Linked DNA regions of Neodiprion lecontei. The protein of the gene in region 2 binds, or shares a complex with, the protein of the main gene of each other region. Links are inferred from orthologs where the notes say so. Each region holds a gene or a part of one and is shown on either strand. Other genes may lie near its edges. The genes, in order: ras-related protein Rab-21 and rab5 GDP/GTP exchange factor.

What was found.
Region 1: the proteins of rab5 GDP/GTP exchange factor (region 2) and ras-related protein Rab-21 are in contact, whole or in part, in a crystal structure (PDB 2OT3), measured with the Homo sapiens proteins. The link is inferred for Neodiprion lecontei from reciprocal best matches to the Homo sapiens genes RABGEF1 and RAB21. Residues at the interface, in NP_001273991.1 of Homo sapiens: Leu253, Cys254, Lys296, Phe299, Asn300, Lys303, Pro309, Ala310, Ser311, Ala312, Asp313, Phe315, Leu316, Pro317, Ile320, Leu347, Met348, Thr349, Gly350, Glu351, Gly353, Tyr354, Tyr355, Thr357, Asn358, Cys360, Cys361, Ala364, Phe365, Ser373; in NP_055814.1 of Homo sapiens: Ser19, Phe20, Lys21, Gly26, Glu27, Gly28, Lys32, Thr33, Leu37, Thr50, Thr51, Leu52, Gln53, Ala54, Ser55, Phe56, Ala71, Trp73, Asp74, Thr75, Ala76, Gly77, Gln78, Arg80, Phe81, Leu84, Ile87, Tyr88, Asp91.

Annotation. Positions count from the first base shown.
Region 1 is NC_060261.1:7,272,638-7,281,733, reverse strand, and holds ras-related protein Rab-21, read right to left. Parts: upstream 6,332-9,096; 5' UTR 6,063-6,331; coding exon 5,913-6,062; intron 5,820-5,912; coding exon 5,652-5,819; intron 5,027-5,651; coding exon 4,908-5,026; intron 4,519-4,907; coding exon 4,275-4,518; 3' UTR 1,512-4,274; downstream 1-1,511. Other genes in the region: rho GTPase-activating protein 1, read left to right, coding at 1-111, 187-387, 478-584, 673-846. UniProt on the Homo sapiens protein: The small GTPases Rab are key regulators of intracellular membrane trafficking, from the formation of transport vesicles to their fusion with membranes.
Region 2 is NC_060261.1:2,397,197-2,405,618, reverse strand, and holds rab5 GDP/GTP exchange factor, read right to left. Parts: upstream 5,576-8,422; 5' UTR 5,461-5,575; exon of another isoform or gene 5,383-5,460; 5' UTR 5,356-5,382; coding exon 5,186-5,355; intron 5,007-5,185; coding exon 4,888-5,006; intron 4,665-4,887; coding exon 4,407-4,664; intron 4,330-4,406; coding exon 4,200-4,329; intron 4,040-4,199; coding exon 3,942-4,039; intron 3,866-3,941; coding exon 3,609-3,865; intron 3,501-3,608; coding exon 3,369-3,500; intron 3,301-3,368; coding exon 3,040-3,300; intron 2,903-3,039; coding exon 2,459-2,902; 3' UTR 1,361-2,458; downstream 1-1,360. Other genes in the region: centrosomal protein of 131 kDa, read left to right, coding at 6,110-6,577, 6,685-6,781, 6,871-6,970, 7,129-7,570, 7,696-7,913, 7,987-8,146, 8,233-8,422. UniProt on the Homo sapiens protein: Rab effector protein acting as linker between gamma-adaptin, RAB4A or RAB5A. Involved in endocytic membrane fusion and membrane trafficking of recycling endosomes. Stimulates nucleotide exchange on RAB5A. Can act as a ubiquitin ligase.

The DNA.
Region 1 (9,096 bases), about 4.9 Mb from region 2:
TAGCAACAACGCAATTCGGCGCAAGTCTACAATTTATTAGAGAAAATAATGGCGACGAAATGATACCACCTATAGTAACGCAGTGTATAGAATTTTTGGATACTCCAGACGGTGAGGCACATCATTCAATGTTTCTTGCAAATCAGTGCGCAAACAATAATAAACATCATTGTTTTACTTCGACAGCATTGGAAACTGAAGGCCTGTTCAGAAGATCAGCCAATGTAACCGTGATCAAAGAACTTCAAAACCGTTGTAACTTGGGATTGCCTGTAGATTTTCGAGGTGATCCTCACATAGCGGCTGTACTTCTAAAAACATTCCTTCGAGAACTGGACGAACCACTTATGACCTACGAACTTTACGATGAAATAACCCAGTTTCAAAGTAAGTAAAAACAACTCTGAACCGATGATGTTCTACATTAACATCTATTTAGATCCTATTTACCATTCATCTTTTTTCATCATTCCAAAGGTTTATCAAAAGACGAACGACCTCGGAAAGTTAAGATATTGATTCTTGAAAAACTACCTGAAGCTAACTATCGTCTTTTGAAATATATCGTTCAATTTTTATCCAGGGTGAGTTTAATTCTCATTGTTTCTCTCACTGTAATTCATGGAACGTCGTGGCCATGGAACAAATACTCATATTTTTTAACACTCGTAGGTAATGGACAGAAGTGATCTTAACAAGATGACATCGAATAATCTGGCAGTAGTATTCGGTCCTAATTTAGTAAGAGCTCCATCTTCTCGAGGAATGTCACTTTCAGCAATTGGTCCGATCAATCAGTTTACCGACTTTTTGTTCATGTACCAAGATAAAATATTCATCATTTAAGACTGGGTTAGATTACTAAAAGTGTTGATTCATTAAAGGCCTATAAAACGTTAACAAAATTGGTACTCGTTTCAAATAACAGACTGAAACACTAATCAGATTGTTCAAATTGGATTTGTGGGGAATATGAAAGTACATGTGTCAATTAATTAAAAAAAAAAAAAATCTAATTTGAGCACATTAGACACTTGCTCCACGGCTTTCATTTTTGCATAAATCATTGCATCGGTAAAACTTTTATATTTGCCTCGATTTTAAAAATTTTAATTTACAGACTTGGAAGGGACACTGCAGGTCAGTTATTTAATTTTGAATAATATTTCTCTTATTTATCGAATATAGCTCGAAGCATTTTCATATTCACAAGATGGATCCTACATATGAGTACAATTCAATAATGAGCATATAGTATTTTTATATAAATCACAGTAGCAAGTACACGCAAATCCAATTTTTAATATCTACAAAAAAGCCTCACGTTTGAACACACGTTCTTGTGTAATGTTCTATAAAATATTTTCCTTTTTGTCTTTGTCGTGTAAAGCATAGTTGATATTTTTTACTAATTTATATACTTGCTGAAAAGCAAAAATCGTAGAACATACACAGGTTTTCTTCGTAAAGTATTTCACAATAATGAATGCACAACTTTTTTTCTAGCCAAATATGCTGCGATCGTCATGAGTGTTGCGTAGAATGAATGTGAGCAAGCTGATCAGTGTTGTATGGCAGTTTTTAACATGTGAATAATATTTATACAAAAAAAAAGGAAAAAAATTACCACTGTATACCAAAGATAGGTGAGAACGTCATATAATGTAATCAGTGTAAACTGTAGGTATACTCACAAAATAGTCTAATTAAATGGGTAAAATTAGTAATTATTATATTTTTTACGGAATGATTATCGAAGATTGAATATTTCTTGGTAACAAAGTTTTTCAACCAGTATAGTATTGTAAAAGATAATCATTTATATTCGAATTAAAAAATTTGAGATGTGCGTTTGCTTAGGTTTATTGAATTTCTTGCGTAATACCCATTACAGTTTTACCAATATTCCAGTAAATGGTAACCAAAGCCAAGTCTCTCTTCAATTATATTACATAGAATAGTAATTTATTATTCTCAAAGAATTTTGTCACACAATGTTAGACAATCTTCGACACATTCCGTACTGTAATTTATAAATTGTAAATAATCTCATGGTGTATAAATTCATAGAATAGATATATATACATATAAATATAGTACTGATTTTTAAATAAAGTATTGAAAAAAGCGTATAAGAATAAAATATAAATACATATAATAACGAACAGTGACAAAAATATTATGATAATCGAATTAGCAAATTATTCAATATTGTTTTATGCTGGCATAAGAACGACGAATAAGTGAGATACTGAGATATAGTAATTTTCATTTATCATATTTCGTAGTTTATGTCATAATTTGAACTTCTCAAGTATTAATTTTCAGCAATCGATAATAGATATACCTATATAACAAAATACAGAAATCTTGAACGAATTGAGTATAAAAATTGTAATTGGCGACGCAAAAACTGTATTTCAACAGCGTTAAACAGACAAGAATTTAAATAACCATTGGTTAGAAACTGAATTGTAAGTTTAAAAAAATCTTATGCATACGCGATTAATTTGTTTTGAAAGAAATTGCAAATATATTCAAAGAGAGTGTCAACAAATGTGTTTAGAAAAGAACAAAAAAAATTTTTTTTTTTTAAATAACTTGTAACTGTCTGAAACGAATTTGTTCTGTCGCACATCTAACAATATGAGACATGCACACAATTTATGAAAATATAAATAACTTGCCACAGACATTCCTATATGATGTGCATTACGTAATTGCACAATTGCCACTTGCGAACATGAAAAAAAAATACATCAATCATAGGTTGACTCGTCATTCCGGATAATACATAATTTACACGTCAACACATTATTCAGCGAAATATCATTATATGTTACATTGCATTATAGTTCTGACCAAGAGCTGTAAATGTTAGGATAACTAAATGTATGCACGATCCATGTACCTGTGATAGAATAGCACATTGTATCTTTATCTTTCGAACATCATACGGATCTGAATAAAAACAATATAGTACTAAAATCAAATTATACCAATCGAATTCTCATTTCTTTAATTTATACAGAATCTCGCCTAAACTAAGAAAATATCGTCATCACTATTTGACACTGTCTCGAAGACTTATACTAGTGAAAAAACAGTAAGGTCGTAAATTATATTAAATTTATTCATGTAAATATATGCCAATAGACAGCAATATATTTACAAATACAGTATATGGCAACGCAAAACAACAAGTGTAATTTATATAATAACATCATTTATAAGTCCCTAGTACGAGTTCGGTAATTCGATACAGTGGTATGTAACATCATGTCAAAGACAATTATGAATTTACACAGTCTGGAACAGTAACGCGAAATAGGCGTCCTTATAAATCTTTTTCTACAATCTAAATACGTCAGTAATTTGAAATTTGATTTTTTTCTTCGTTCAAACGTTATACATTAATTATACTTATATCTATTAGATATATATATGAGCTTGCATTCAATAGGAACATTATGCTGTCTAAAATGTTTTGGAATTTCAATGGTAGATTCACACAAATTTATCTTGCGTACAAAACACTTTTATTAAAAACTTTCACGAGGTTTTTGAAAATTCCCATAGCAAAAAAGTTTCAAAGTCGTTAGTAACAAGTTATTCCTATAATAATCCATGTGAAGCTAACTAATTTACATGGGATTAAAACTGAAATAAGCATGATATATAACTTTCTTTCACATTTTAACACTGCGAGTAATGTAAAGTTGTTACAGCATCAGCTAAAATATTAATGATTAAATATTTGAATATATGCAAGTACACGTGGAAGTGATACAGCTAAAATATTGCTGAATGTTCACTCTGTTCTACTCTTGGTAAACCACGTGCATATGATACGGTATATCGCTTAACATATAGTGTAAAATATCTCCTGTATTCTCGTCTTCGGTAGGCAGGTAAGCTATTGATTTTACTGTTGACATTTCTAAATGGCTTGTTCCAGGTAAAAATTTCAAACTATCAAAGAAATACAGATAAATAAGAAGTTTATTTATTTTCAATTTCAATTATTGTTAAATTTTTATGATCGACTGGTAAATGAGACACTGATCTGATTGAATACAATTACGTTTTCATATACCTGTAAGTATATCCACCTAATTCGTACTTGATCCACAGGCTGTATGTGTTCAAAACGACTACAGTATACTTGATCGCATTGAAATTTGCAAATTTTCGTGTTTTATAATTGTAAAACAACTGCTATATACAATTATGTATAACTCAAACCCCCTAAAAACTTAAGCCACGTCATCGACCTATGATGAACTTTGCGAAAATCCTCCACAGCAGGAGCTTGAAGCTGGTCTCTCTTGCTCAGCTTCGTCTTCGACAACCACGACATTCCGTCGCGTGCTATTTGACCGTGTAAGAGTAGATTTTTGCTCAACCATATCTGCATGTACCATCATGCGGCGGGTTAAATCTAGAAACATTTCTTCAATGTTTTGATTCTGTTTTGCTGATGTGTGAAAGTGGACCGCACCAACTTGTCTGGCATATCTGAAGAAATAATTCGTATAAATTGATTCTGTTAAACATAAAATAGTAGATTGGTAGCTTGCTTCCTTGATAAGAATGAAATGTAATAATGAATATCTGTGCTTGTGCATTTATTTCGCATGTAATTGTTTGTTTTTTCTTCTTATTTCAGTCTAGTCTAATTATAACTTTGTATGCTGGGTTAAACAAAGCAGATTGATGATTGAAAAAATAAAAAACAAGATTATCTTATCAGAGAAAAGATTCAGGTTCGTCGACAGATATTTTCATACTCGTTTTCTTTCTTTGTTGATTTTGTACAGTTTTTAGGTCTTCTGAAAGTGATGTCCAAATACTTTTATGAAGTTTATAATGTGAACTGACATATACTTTACTAGAACAAAACTCACTCTTCTGCTTCTTCCTGTGTTACATTCCGATCCCTCTCAAGATCTAATTTGTTACCAGCTATGACAAGGCAAATTTCACTGCCAAGCATCTTTTTCAACTCCTTCACCCAGTTTTTTACCTATAAATATATAAATATAAAAATGAGGAATCAAATAATGATTCTACACTTTTGAACGAAAAATAAAGTAATATAACGAAGTGTAGAACTGATATAGGAGATTGATAAAAATGAAAGGCAACTTAACTAATGAGAGTAGTTTTGCAATTGAGAAATTGATAATAAATGAAAAGTGGTAAATCACAAATTTGTAAGAATGGATGATGGAGTTAAAGCAACATAAACATCGTTTATTTCTTTGGTGTAAAGTCGAAGAAACTTTACTTGACTTTTATCGATGCCGATGCGAAACAGCTTGCACAAGAAACAAGTAAAATTTAATCCAGTTATTTTCAAAGTATTCAAGTTGTTCAAATCAAACAACTCCATATTTTTCACATAAAGTTGAGAAAATAAGTATTGTCAGCCATAATATCGCGGTATCTAAATCGTATCCTCAATTGAACAAGTTTCGGAGCAAAGCTTATTGCAAATTTACGTATCCAATTATAACATCGCATCTTGATGATTATTGATCCAAACTTCTGACTCAATACGCAGTTTACTGATTTATTTTTAATTAATTGTGAATAAAATAAAATAAAATAATATATGTTACAAGCTGGTGTTCATTCACTCTTCGAACCTTTTGAAACGAGTCCTCGTCGGTAATATCGTATACCAGAATTGCGCCGTTTGACATACGATAGTAGATGGGTCCTAAGGCATGAAACTTTTCTTGTCCTGCCGTATCCCAGATAGCCAAATTCACTCTTTTTCCATTAATGTTGAGTTTCTTATTAAGAAACGAAGCCTGCGAATAAGTAAATAGGTTACAAGTTGAATGATTTATGTATGCACGTATCGTTCCAAATAGGATAAGAGAAAAAAATGACGATTCAAATACCTGGAGAGTGGTGATATGTTTGTCGTTGAATTTGTCCTCGACATATCGTAGAGCGACAGATGTTTTTCCTACACAACCTTCGCCGAGCAAAACAACTTTAAAATTGTAACCATTGATTGAATTATTCGCAGTCGGTGAGGAACTGGCCATTGTTTACAAAAGTAAAATAATATTATAATTGAGAAAAGAAATGAGAATAAGCTTTTATGAAAATACTATTTTACGCGTTTATCATTAACGTACAAACTAGTATTTGTCATTATATTCTATAAACCTAGCTCTCTGACAGTAGAAGTAATCGATGTATATCGTATGTATGTACGTAATTTTACTTTTTTTTTTTACAACTACTATCTCTCTCGCGGTTGTCCACGGAACGTCAAGTGCGAGAGATCAGCTGTTCTCACCTGTATCATTACAAGAAATTTTCCTCACCAACAGATTTAAACGCATGCGCGATCGTCGTGCGTTATCTTCTTGATACGAAGGTTAGAATCATCTACAGTAGATGGCAGGTGGTCTACGACCTCTAGGAAAAAATAAACACTGTATGCCGCATACGATACGTCAATCCGACGTCAACAAATGGTTTCTAACGAGATCAGTTCGTTATACGCTTAGAACAATTTGCAATATCTCGATCGTTTTGAATCGACTAGAAACTCGGAACAATCTTTGCTTTACAATGCATTTAATGCCTTGCGATCATTCTTCGGGAAACATTTAAGAGACGAAAGTAATCTTGATGCATTCAAATGTCATTGCCTTTGGCGTCTTAGCTCTCCGAGCTGCCAAATCGAATTAACAAGGAGTATATCAATGAGTCTTTGTAATCCTCTTAATTGTTGCTAATGTTCACTCTATTCTCAAAGATTTAAATGTATGAGCTTTCTTATTTTTCAAAGAAACGGACTTGTCCTCATTTAACCTGAATCAACCGGTGGAAATTGTTATAAACTGTCGAAATATGACGTTCTCCATTTGGTGGTTCGTAGTGTTTACATAATTAATTATTTCGTCGTGCGAGAATATAATCCCAATTGAGTAGCATTGAGCAAAAGTATCAACTATTTACTCTACGCTGGATAAAAATACCAGCTCAAAATATACTGCAATGACGGGGAAAACCTGTTTCGAATGAACGTGCGCATTTGCGGTAACCCCAAATTTTAAATCATCTCGTATGTCGACGAGATTTGTACCGTATCTATGCATTATTTCTCTGTGGATGAAATGGTGATATTGGAGAAAGAAAAATTAACAAATTTTGCCCGCAAGTTGCCGTAATATTAGTAAATATTTGTGCTGTAGGATAAAGCCAAAGATTCGAACGTTAAAATTCGACATCACGACTGACAACACAGCTCAATGCCGATAATACAAAAATCATCACGCACTCTGGCGGTGACATCGAAAACTCTCGTCTAGCAACAAAACTCAAATGGCGCACAGGAAGCGAATCAGCGATAACCGGAAGCTTAATTCTGACAGCCAGATAGATTACTTGACATTTTGTAAATTAAAATCTTGGTGAAGCGCGGTGTGTATTGTCTTATAAAATATTCTATTGATATGCGGTAAATAAAAATATCACAGAATTCCGGCATGAAGTAGTTTCCAAAGTTTGTCATCTAAAAGCTGCCAGTTTGACTGACAGCGTGAACCAAAGCCTGCGCGTTAAGATTGCGCTGAAGAATTCTTGAATCCGGCCGTCACCTGTATTGAAAAGGTAAGCAAATCAGTCATACTAATTTTAGCGTTTTATTAGATAATCTCGGCGGATTTAATGCGAGATTATCATATTTAGCCAGCGCAATTAGCTATTTATATTTGGAACTATTGTCACATTCGTTTATCCCTCTATTATCAAGAAATATGTGACTAAACGTCAGCGTCTCCGGCCGCTGTAGAACTGCCAGCCTGCTGTATCATGACATAGAGCAAGCATTTTCTAACAGCAAATATTTTTCGCGTGGGTAAGATCGTAACGTTGAGAAAAGCATTTCTCCCGGTTGCCCGGTCGGTTGCCGGTCCGTGCCATTCGATCGTTGTTAATAATTAATATACGTATCGAAACTTTCACCGAAAGTGTACGCTATGAGATTTTGTGAAATATTTCGCATTTTTCTACCACGCGTTTGACATCTGACGAGATGCCGCCGATATCTGTCATTATCGTGAGATAACTTTCGTTTGTTTCTTTTTCTCCTTTATTCTACTTGGACAATCGAGTTTTATCAGCGTTCGATTTAGTCCTTCCTAAAATGGGACGCCGTTCTATTTCGCAAGTGGACTTGTTTGTTTGCGTACTGTCTCATCTGTCATGGCGTTCGTATGGCGGGGTCTCAGCCGACGTGCACACGATATTCGTTGACGCTTGCACGTCAGTGAATTCCAGTTTGACAGCGGCAGGGTTTGTTTATCCCCAACTGAAGTTCCGTTGCCTCAATTTCTGACCATGTTATGTTGACAATTGGCGCGCGTCGACGTGTATGTAATCCGCAAACAAACGACTATCGCACGCATGTCTCTCTCCTTGTCGGTACATCTCAGGACCGATGCGAGGCGGTTTGGTTATGGCGACCGCCGTGCGGTGCCACGCGCCATGCCTGCCTCCTTCTCGCGCACGTCGTTGCGTCTCTCCATCTGTCATGCTCGTTCCACTGCTCCACTTTCTTGTTAGGGAATTACATGCAGTCGCGTACTTCACCCTGACATCTCAAATTTCACCGTGTAATATCAATCGGAGGCAGTCACGAGGGTTTTTCCCCTTCTCACTTTCTTGCATTTGTTTTATCATCGTTTTATCCCAAACCACAGTCAGCGTCACGATTGTTACGTATGTCGTAAATGTAACACACGTCGTTGCGTTGATACCAAGGAACTGATTTGGTTCCTTCCTGATTCACTGAAATGTCAGTAAACTCTGGGTAAAAAAAATTACATCCGCGAAAACGTAATGAGAGAAACGGTTTTTCAACTGATTGCAACGCCTGTATCGTTTCGTTAATTAGACGAGCCAAACCCCGTCAAGTACGTTACAATACATACGTCGAGTAAAAGTGTTTCGATATATTTTTTTTATTTTTATTCGTACGTAACACTTTGCGGAATTAACAGCGACAGTAAAAATGAGAATGAAAGTTTCAAGTATCAGGTAATGGTGTCAGGGGCACGTTTATAC
Region 2 (8,422 bases):
TACCTATATTTTAGCCGACTGTAGCAGTTTCTAGGTACAAAATAGTGTGTGACATTATTTAATTAATAAGCGCAACTTTAGGAAATGCTTGTTGCACATAATTCCAGCAGTGTTTGGATCAAATATAAATGAGACAGGAGTATTTATATGTACGATAAGACCTTCGTCTCATTTATATTTCATTTGGCATCCCCAGTTCGTTTTGCCCAGTAAACTTGTGTAGATATAGAAAGTAGATAGACGCGAATGGGCATATTCTATACTCGACGAAGGTATAGAAAATACTATAGATTTTTAATGTAAAAGTAGTAACTTTCTACGAAAGTGTAAAACAAGGCTTATTGTACTTTATTCGTTACGTTATGTAATTATTTTTCTATTCACCGACTACTGTTAAAAATGAATCAATATCTTGTAATACTATTTATAATTAGATAGATTGATAACCTAATGAAACAGGGTAGATTTTAGTGATAATGCGATTACATAGATCTTGTAGGTATTTTTTTTAGTATGAACTCTAGATATTCAAATATGTTATTGCAGAATACTGAAATTCTTCGCTCGTTTTATAACTCTGTAACACTTTATTGTGTCTTTATTACACTTTGAGGATATTATAGATATGGAATTTTCATTCATTACTCTGCAATAATATAGTATACTTTTTCACTGATTGCAATACTTTTGTAACTTTTATATAAGATTCAGTTTTACTTACCGGCAATCAGTTGGTAGTTGAGATGAGAATAAATATGAATATATAAAAATTATAACACACTAACACTAACACTAACACTGTCTACACTCTCTGGCATAAAGACTTATTTCTTATGTATCAACGATGATATTATGTTTGATAATTGTAAATATTGTAAGTTCACCAATTAAAAAATAAACTCAAACTGCATTAAAAATATTTGACACACTTTAACGGGCTTTGTGAAAAAATGTGAAACTTATACCGAAAACAGAACTTTAACTGATATTAGGTAATAAAATGGTTCTATAACAGAATTTCTCCAAGTACAAACTTATTTGTATCATTGGCTTTCAATAATTAAGAAAATCTTTGCGTGAGGTAGCACATATTTTTCACATTCCAAACACACTTCTTTAGGTTTCTGTACAATCATAGTTTAACAAATAGTTTATATATATTTAACTTTTGTCACGTTTATAATCCGGTAACTAGCTGCCCGTAAGAGATTAAAAAATTTGAATTCTAATCAGACTTTGAGACCAAATATGTAATTGATATCAGTTAGTCAATGTGATGTACAAAAAAAAAAAACACGATTTGCACAATTCACTAATTCAATGTTGCTATATATCATACTAACAATAAATTCTGCCGAAATTCTGTATTCCAACCACATGTATTGACTTTATACTTCATTTTTGGTTTACACCACTATAAATAAATTTCATACGATACGTGAATTTATTTGTACAGGCCTTAAAATTATTTTCATACACTCTTTGTATACCCATGTATAGTGAATATAAGTTTCGATTAAAAGTGCCAATTACAATAACCAATATTAGTTTTCGTTATAATTCTAATGAAAATATATTTTTTACCTCATATCAAGACAAATTCATTTAAATATATATTATTGTTAGTCAGGATGGACCTATCGGATTAAAAGAAAAATGATGACTGACACAATTCGCTCACTTAGTCTAGTGCAGTATCTCTGAAATCAAATTGAGTGTGAGTGACAAAGGTTGATCGTTAAACCGATATGAAAATAATTAATGTTTACAAATGACTACCACCTAGTTGATTATAATTGAATTTATTAAAGTACGGCATTAGCAATTATATATTCATATAAGTTTGGAATATCAGTTTTTTTGACATGCACTGAAATTGTGATGTATATAAAAATGTGGTCAACTCACAAATTGGAGAAAATGATGACAACTGTAGCTACAAAATGGTAAATATTTATATCTAAATTCAGATTATAGCCTACTTACATGATGATCTACTCCAGAATGTATACTGATCACTTTTGATGCAGTGTCTTGGTAACGTAGCACCTACTTGTCATTTTTTCACTTTTCACTGTAGCAGAATCTATAAGATAATTGTAAGCATAGCAGTGCAAATATCCTAGCTTGAAACCTATAGTTTTTAATCCAGCATCTGATTTGTAAGTTATATTAGAAATATTGCTGATTTCATTGGATCTTGAATAACAAAGCGATAATCTCAGACGTTACCTCGCCATCGATACAAGACACGATCCAATCCTTCGAAGCTGACTAGATAAGATGCAAGTTACATCTTAATTCCTGCATACTACTGTATACATACCTATATGTATGTGTATATATACCTATATGTATGTGTATATATATCTATATGTATGGTATGTATGAATGTGCATATCTAGATATATATGTTATGGTTGAAATTAATCAAGTGTATGTTTAAATTGCAAATCGTTCAAATGTTGTGAAAGTAGCCAGAATAGTTATCTGCCTCCAAGTCCGAAGTGTTGTGAGAAAGATCACCAGTGTTGCACGGGATCGTGGGAATGTTAGAACCTTGGATTGAGAATCCATGGTAATCTTCACGTAGAGAACAAACTGGTTTTAGAGGCGATGGTAAATTAGTGCCCGATGCTTGCGATTCGTCTAGCAAACTATCAGAGGCGTCTCTGTCTTGTAGATACGATTCTTCTGCTGTAAGATCGCATTGTGTATCCAAGCTAATTAGGCTGGTATCGTCATCCCCTTTACTTCCATGCAAACCACCATCTGAGTCAAAGGCTGGGAAATCAAAAGTTGGAGATGGTGTTATGCAATCCTCGATCGAAGGTCCGTTGTAATCACCAACGTGAGATGTCAGTGTTTCATTTGTTTCGTCGTTCAGGGTTTGAGGGTAAATCTGTGGATGAATACTGCGATAAAGTAATGTTGTGAGGATTAAAAAGTATTCGCAAATAGAAAGTAAGTTCACAGAAATTTTCAGCATTTCATATTACAGATATAAGTTGATATTAAATTTGGAACAAATGATTTTACATCAATATTTTGTACTTGTGGTATAATTGGTGGTGGTAGCTGGTAGCTCTCTGCATCAACGCAGTCAAGATTAGTCGGTATCCTTTGACTCGGCGTGATAATAAGGGGAGTGCGAGTTATCGCAGCGTCAACTTCCGCCTCAACTTTTTCTGGGAATTGTTGCATTTTTTTCTTAAGCTCATCGGATTCTGCTATGATTTCCAAATTTTTCGCTTTCAATTCATCCAGCAGTGTTATGTGTTCGCACATCAGGTGTATACTCTAAATTATAAAAATCTGTAAGCTATGAGAGTGTTGGAATTATTCTTCAACGATGTATTCATCATTACCTCGCACATAGTGAGAGCAGATTCCCATGTGCTCGCTGGAACGCGTGCTCCTGACATATATGCATCGAAATCTTTCTGAGGCATGTTTAATGACTCGGCAGTAAGATTTTCTATGAAGGATACTGCGCAACACTGGAACAAAATTGGGAATAAAATTTCTTGAAGGCATGGATTTCAGCAAATTTTATATTCATTGCTTTGAGTTGTGCGGTTCTTCGTAGCCCAGAGTAGAACTAATACCAAATTTGTGAAGTAGTAACCTCCTTCACCAGTCATTAATCTGCTAGCATTACAGAATCGGGTGATGAAATTTATGTTGCTTTTCAATCTTGCAGGATTAGCTTTCAGCACAATGAATATAAGCGCCGGTAAAAATTCATCGGCTGAAGCTGGACCCCCAACAGATTGTTGCAGTAGTACAAATATATTTCTACAACAATGAACAACACAGGCAAGCTTCTCTTGCGGTGCTTTTACAGAGTCCATATTTAATAAATCTGAAACAATTGTTACTATGTTACATTTATGTGAAATTAATCAGACCGATTGAGCTTTGAAGTTTGATTGTTTTACCTGTTATTGAGGTGTAAACAAGCTCTCTCACGTCAGAACTAGTTTCGTGGATTCGACACTCCAGATTCTTTCCGCTCACCCAATTCAACTGCCGTATTCTAAAATTTCCTGATTGATTAGAAAAATTCTCGAGCTTGATTCATAAATCAAATTAATCTTGACCAGATTTGATTGGTTTAGAAAGATGTTACTGACTGAGCATATTTTTCACCTTATCTGTTTCCATCCATTCTCTGAATTGGAAAACTGAGATGTTACCTGTTTTGAATAGCAAGGTCCTTGTCCTCATCTGTAGTTGATGGCGGGCAGAAAAGTATCCTATAGAGTAAGGTCATAGTGTATCTTTCGATGTAGTCTAGTAGTCGATCTTTTGTTTCTGGAGAAACATCTAAAAATTAATAATAATAGAGATTACTGCAGTTCTGTGAATATCCTACGCATGAATAACCAAGAGTGCAATATTACCTGCATAATTGGGACTGTTTTCCATTCGCTTGGCAAATACTTGATAGAAGTTCTGAGTTAGTTCGGATAGCTCCTCAACGCTCTTAATATCCTTCATTTGTAAGATGTTGTTTACGAAGGAATGAATACACTTTCGTACATCTTTCTCAGCCGGAGTCTTAGCGATCTGTACCAGAAGGTCACGGGTCTCCGATTTCACTTTGTCAAGTTCAGGATTATCCTTAACCAGCTCCTGCCATATCTCGCTAAAACCTTGAGCTTAAATAAGGAATATTTCCATCATGACGTTTCACATCTTATCAAAATGAATGACAGGAAAGAATGGAAACACCAAAACTTTACCAGTTGTCTAGAAGTATATTATTATGGTTGTTATTATATAATTAGGTTTCTGCTTTAGTTGAAAGATCGATGAAACGTAATTAAGAATGATGTATCATAGAATGAAAATAAAATGTGAGACATTAAAATAAGGACATACTTTTCGTTGCGGTCTTGCGAAAGACTGACAGCTTTAATAGTTTAGTTTTCTTTTCTTGCTGTCGCTTCTTTTCTTCAAATTTGTAAAAACCGTGCACGGTAGTCTTAGAGCTTGAATCACTGAAAAAATGTAAATATATAACGCAGTTCGAACAATTATTCGTTACCAGTAATATTGACCTAATCAATAAAGGGCTTATCAATAGAAAGTAGTGTCGGTAGTTATACCTGGAATGATTCATTTGATTGATAGCATGTTACAATGTGTCAGTGAATTGTTGCACTGGTATAATAAATACCTTTCGTGAATGCGGGCGTGTTCTCTTTGAGCCCGTTGCTTTTGCAAATGTTCTCTGTGACATTTGCTACAGTAGCCTTGCCATTCTTCGTTTCCAAAATATCCACAACCATTTTTGCACTTTAAATCGGCCTCGTCAATGCGGAGAGTCGGCGTCTTGATCGAGTACATGTCGATAATTGGAGAGTAAAACTCCAACTGGGTGCAGTAAGTTTTCAAATTTGGTTACTTAACGCATTTGCGTAATAAGCGAAATGCAAACAATTGAACCCCTACCTACGAGGAGAACATAACCTCTTCACGTGAGCTGTCAAAAATCGACTGTCCGTCACAAGCACGTCAGAAGAGTCTAACTACGGCAAAGATAAGTTGAGAAATGACCAACGCCCCCAAAAACCTGGTTTACGAAATTAAACTGAACTACGTCTCTGCGTGGCGCAGTGTGAATAGAGTAGTAGCGCGACATTATCTGAAGCGTGCGTCGCGGTCGGTAACAGAATATCGATTTCGGCACGCTGCAGATAATGTCGTGCTATTAATTTATTTACATTGCTCCGAGCAAGGCCGTAGTTTGGTTTAATTTTGTCAAACGTCTTTTGGAGGCGCTGGTCATCTCGCAACTCATCTTTGATTCTTCTTCTGCTTCCTTGTGAAACTCATGTGAAGTGAGTCAATATTCATGAATGGTGTACAAAGTTGACCACCCTCTCTGTGTAAAATGCAGTTGAAGTTCTATGTCAATTCTAAGCACTGAACTATACCAACAAGAAGTCAATACTTGAAACGCCATCTGCAATAAGAGCGACATTCGCGTTTCCATAGCAACCGCGTCATACGAAATTTCGAGCGAAGGCTTGACGTTTCAATGAACGTTGTGGTCAGTGTATAAGGAATCCTTAATTAATTACAATGCAAATGGCAAGAAATGATCAACATACAGCATCCAAGGGTTGTCACTAAGCCCCCGATTAGTAACTTTGCCATGTCCGATAACGGAATGGCACATGGCTTGCCCATGCAGAGGTGCAATTCCGCAGAAGACCGCGTACGGAATTCAAACCCGTCAAGATTCTGCGAAACTAACGGAGGACTGGATTCCAAAAAAGGCGAATACCTGAAAGAAGCAGAGACCCATCCCAATCAGATTAATGCTATGATTGAAAACATTGGATACGACTTAAAAAAGCTGCAAACTACTAGTGATTTTAATCAGAATGTCATCGAGCCAAATTCTTGCTCCTTCGATCAGCTTTGCTCGATGATCAATGATTTGGAAAAAAATTTATCTGGAAATGAAGCACAACTGAATATCGATTCAAATACTACTGGAAGTTTTGTCAATAACGAAGGGGGCCACTTTTATGGAAACGATCAAGACTATTCCATCAATCAGGCAAGTATCGATTGCTCGAGAAAATATCTTGTATTTCCAGAATTTAGAGCGCTTAAACACTGCTGCTAGCTTTTACACCTTTTGATCACAATTTCTTCCCCAATTAGCTTCAACCGGAGAAAGATTACTCCAATCAATCATGCGGGTCTTCTCTGTCAACTTACGAGGACATCATGTCCCTGTTAGGGATTTTGAACCACGAAGGTAAAATATGCGACTCTGACAGTGATGGTATAAGGTATGACGGGAATACTGCAACTCTTTAGCTGTTGAATTTTTACATTTCTTTCTAGGATACCTAGAAGATGTTCCAAACAATCGAGCTTACGCGCATTCAAAGATTATTGAAGCAACACTGAATAGTCGATCTATTCCATACTGTAACAATCAAGGGTAAGATTGGTCATCAAAAATTTGTATGAATTTGTGTTTTTAGCATATGCATTGTATAGTATTTCATATGGAGGCAGTGCTATTTGCGAGTGCAAAGATTTTCGCACCGAGGTGTGATTTGTGTGAATCCCGTTGGTAATGTTTTATGTTTCTTGCAGAATTCATCCCGCACAAACCCATATACCTGAAACGATAAAGGACGATTTAGCGACTCTTAGGTTGCAATTGGAAGAACGGGATGAGACTTTAAAAATTTTAAAAAATGAATTAAAATCACAAAGGCATTCTGCTTGCGAGAAGCTAGAATTGCAAAAAAAGCAGCATTGCACTGAGCTGCAGACTCAGAAGACAAAATATCAGACGACGATAAAGAGGCATCAGAAATTTATCGAGCAAATAATATCAGATAAGAAAAATTTGACTGAGAAATGCAACTCCTTGACTGAGCATATCAAAGAAATGGAAGTGAAATATCATCGGGAGTTAAAAGTTGTGGCTGATAGACACGCGGTGGAACTCCGACGAGCTAGAGAACTTTGTGCCGCTTCTGAAAAGATCAGACGCGAACGTTGGCTAGAAGCAAAAACTTCTAAAATAAAGGTGCTAATCAGATGTACGCTTGTGGAACAACTAACTTTTATCTCACAATCAATATATAAACATGTGTTGGTAAAAAAATGTTAGTATCGAATCTCTAGTCAAATTGTTCCATTTTACTTGTTCAGGAAATGACTGTGAAGGGGCTAGAGCCAGAACTGCGAAGTATGGTAGAGCAGCATCAGCAGGAGCTTCAAGAAATACGCAGTGCTCACATCAAAGAGCTTCAGGATACCGAGCTGCGGACAATTCGCCGCTCAAATCAACAGCTGGAGCAGTTGCGTCTTGAGCTAACTGCGAGCCATGAAAAGTTATTGAGTAGCGAAAAAGATATTCTCAGAACAAGGTACAATGTATGTTCAGACATCACGCAGCTTACTTAGATACCAATAAAAGATTCCGTCTGATAACATTCACAGGTATCAGGAGAAACTAGAACAGCAAGAGAATTTATTTCAAGAACAGCGGCGCAAACTGCTGGACGATCTTGAACGTGAAAAAAATCTGCTAGCTCAAGAACATAAACGACTCAATGCTGAGAGAGATGCTGCGATAAGTCAAGCACGTTCACAATTCAATGTACGTTCAGGTCATACTGAAACTAATAATGACTTATACCAAGCAACGATGCATGAGAATAATAACGGGAACCCAATCGTTTACAGGAAAAAATCAATACTTTAATACGACAGCATCAGATCGAGAAAAAAGCTGTTCAAGAATCACTTAGGGTCGAACAAGAGACATGGATGGAAAACTGCAGGAGACAGCACAATATGAAATTAGAAAAAATGGAAACACGGCTGAGAGATGAGTGCAATCGAGAGCGTGACAGACAAATAGAACTGGCTATTG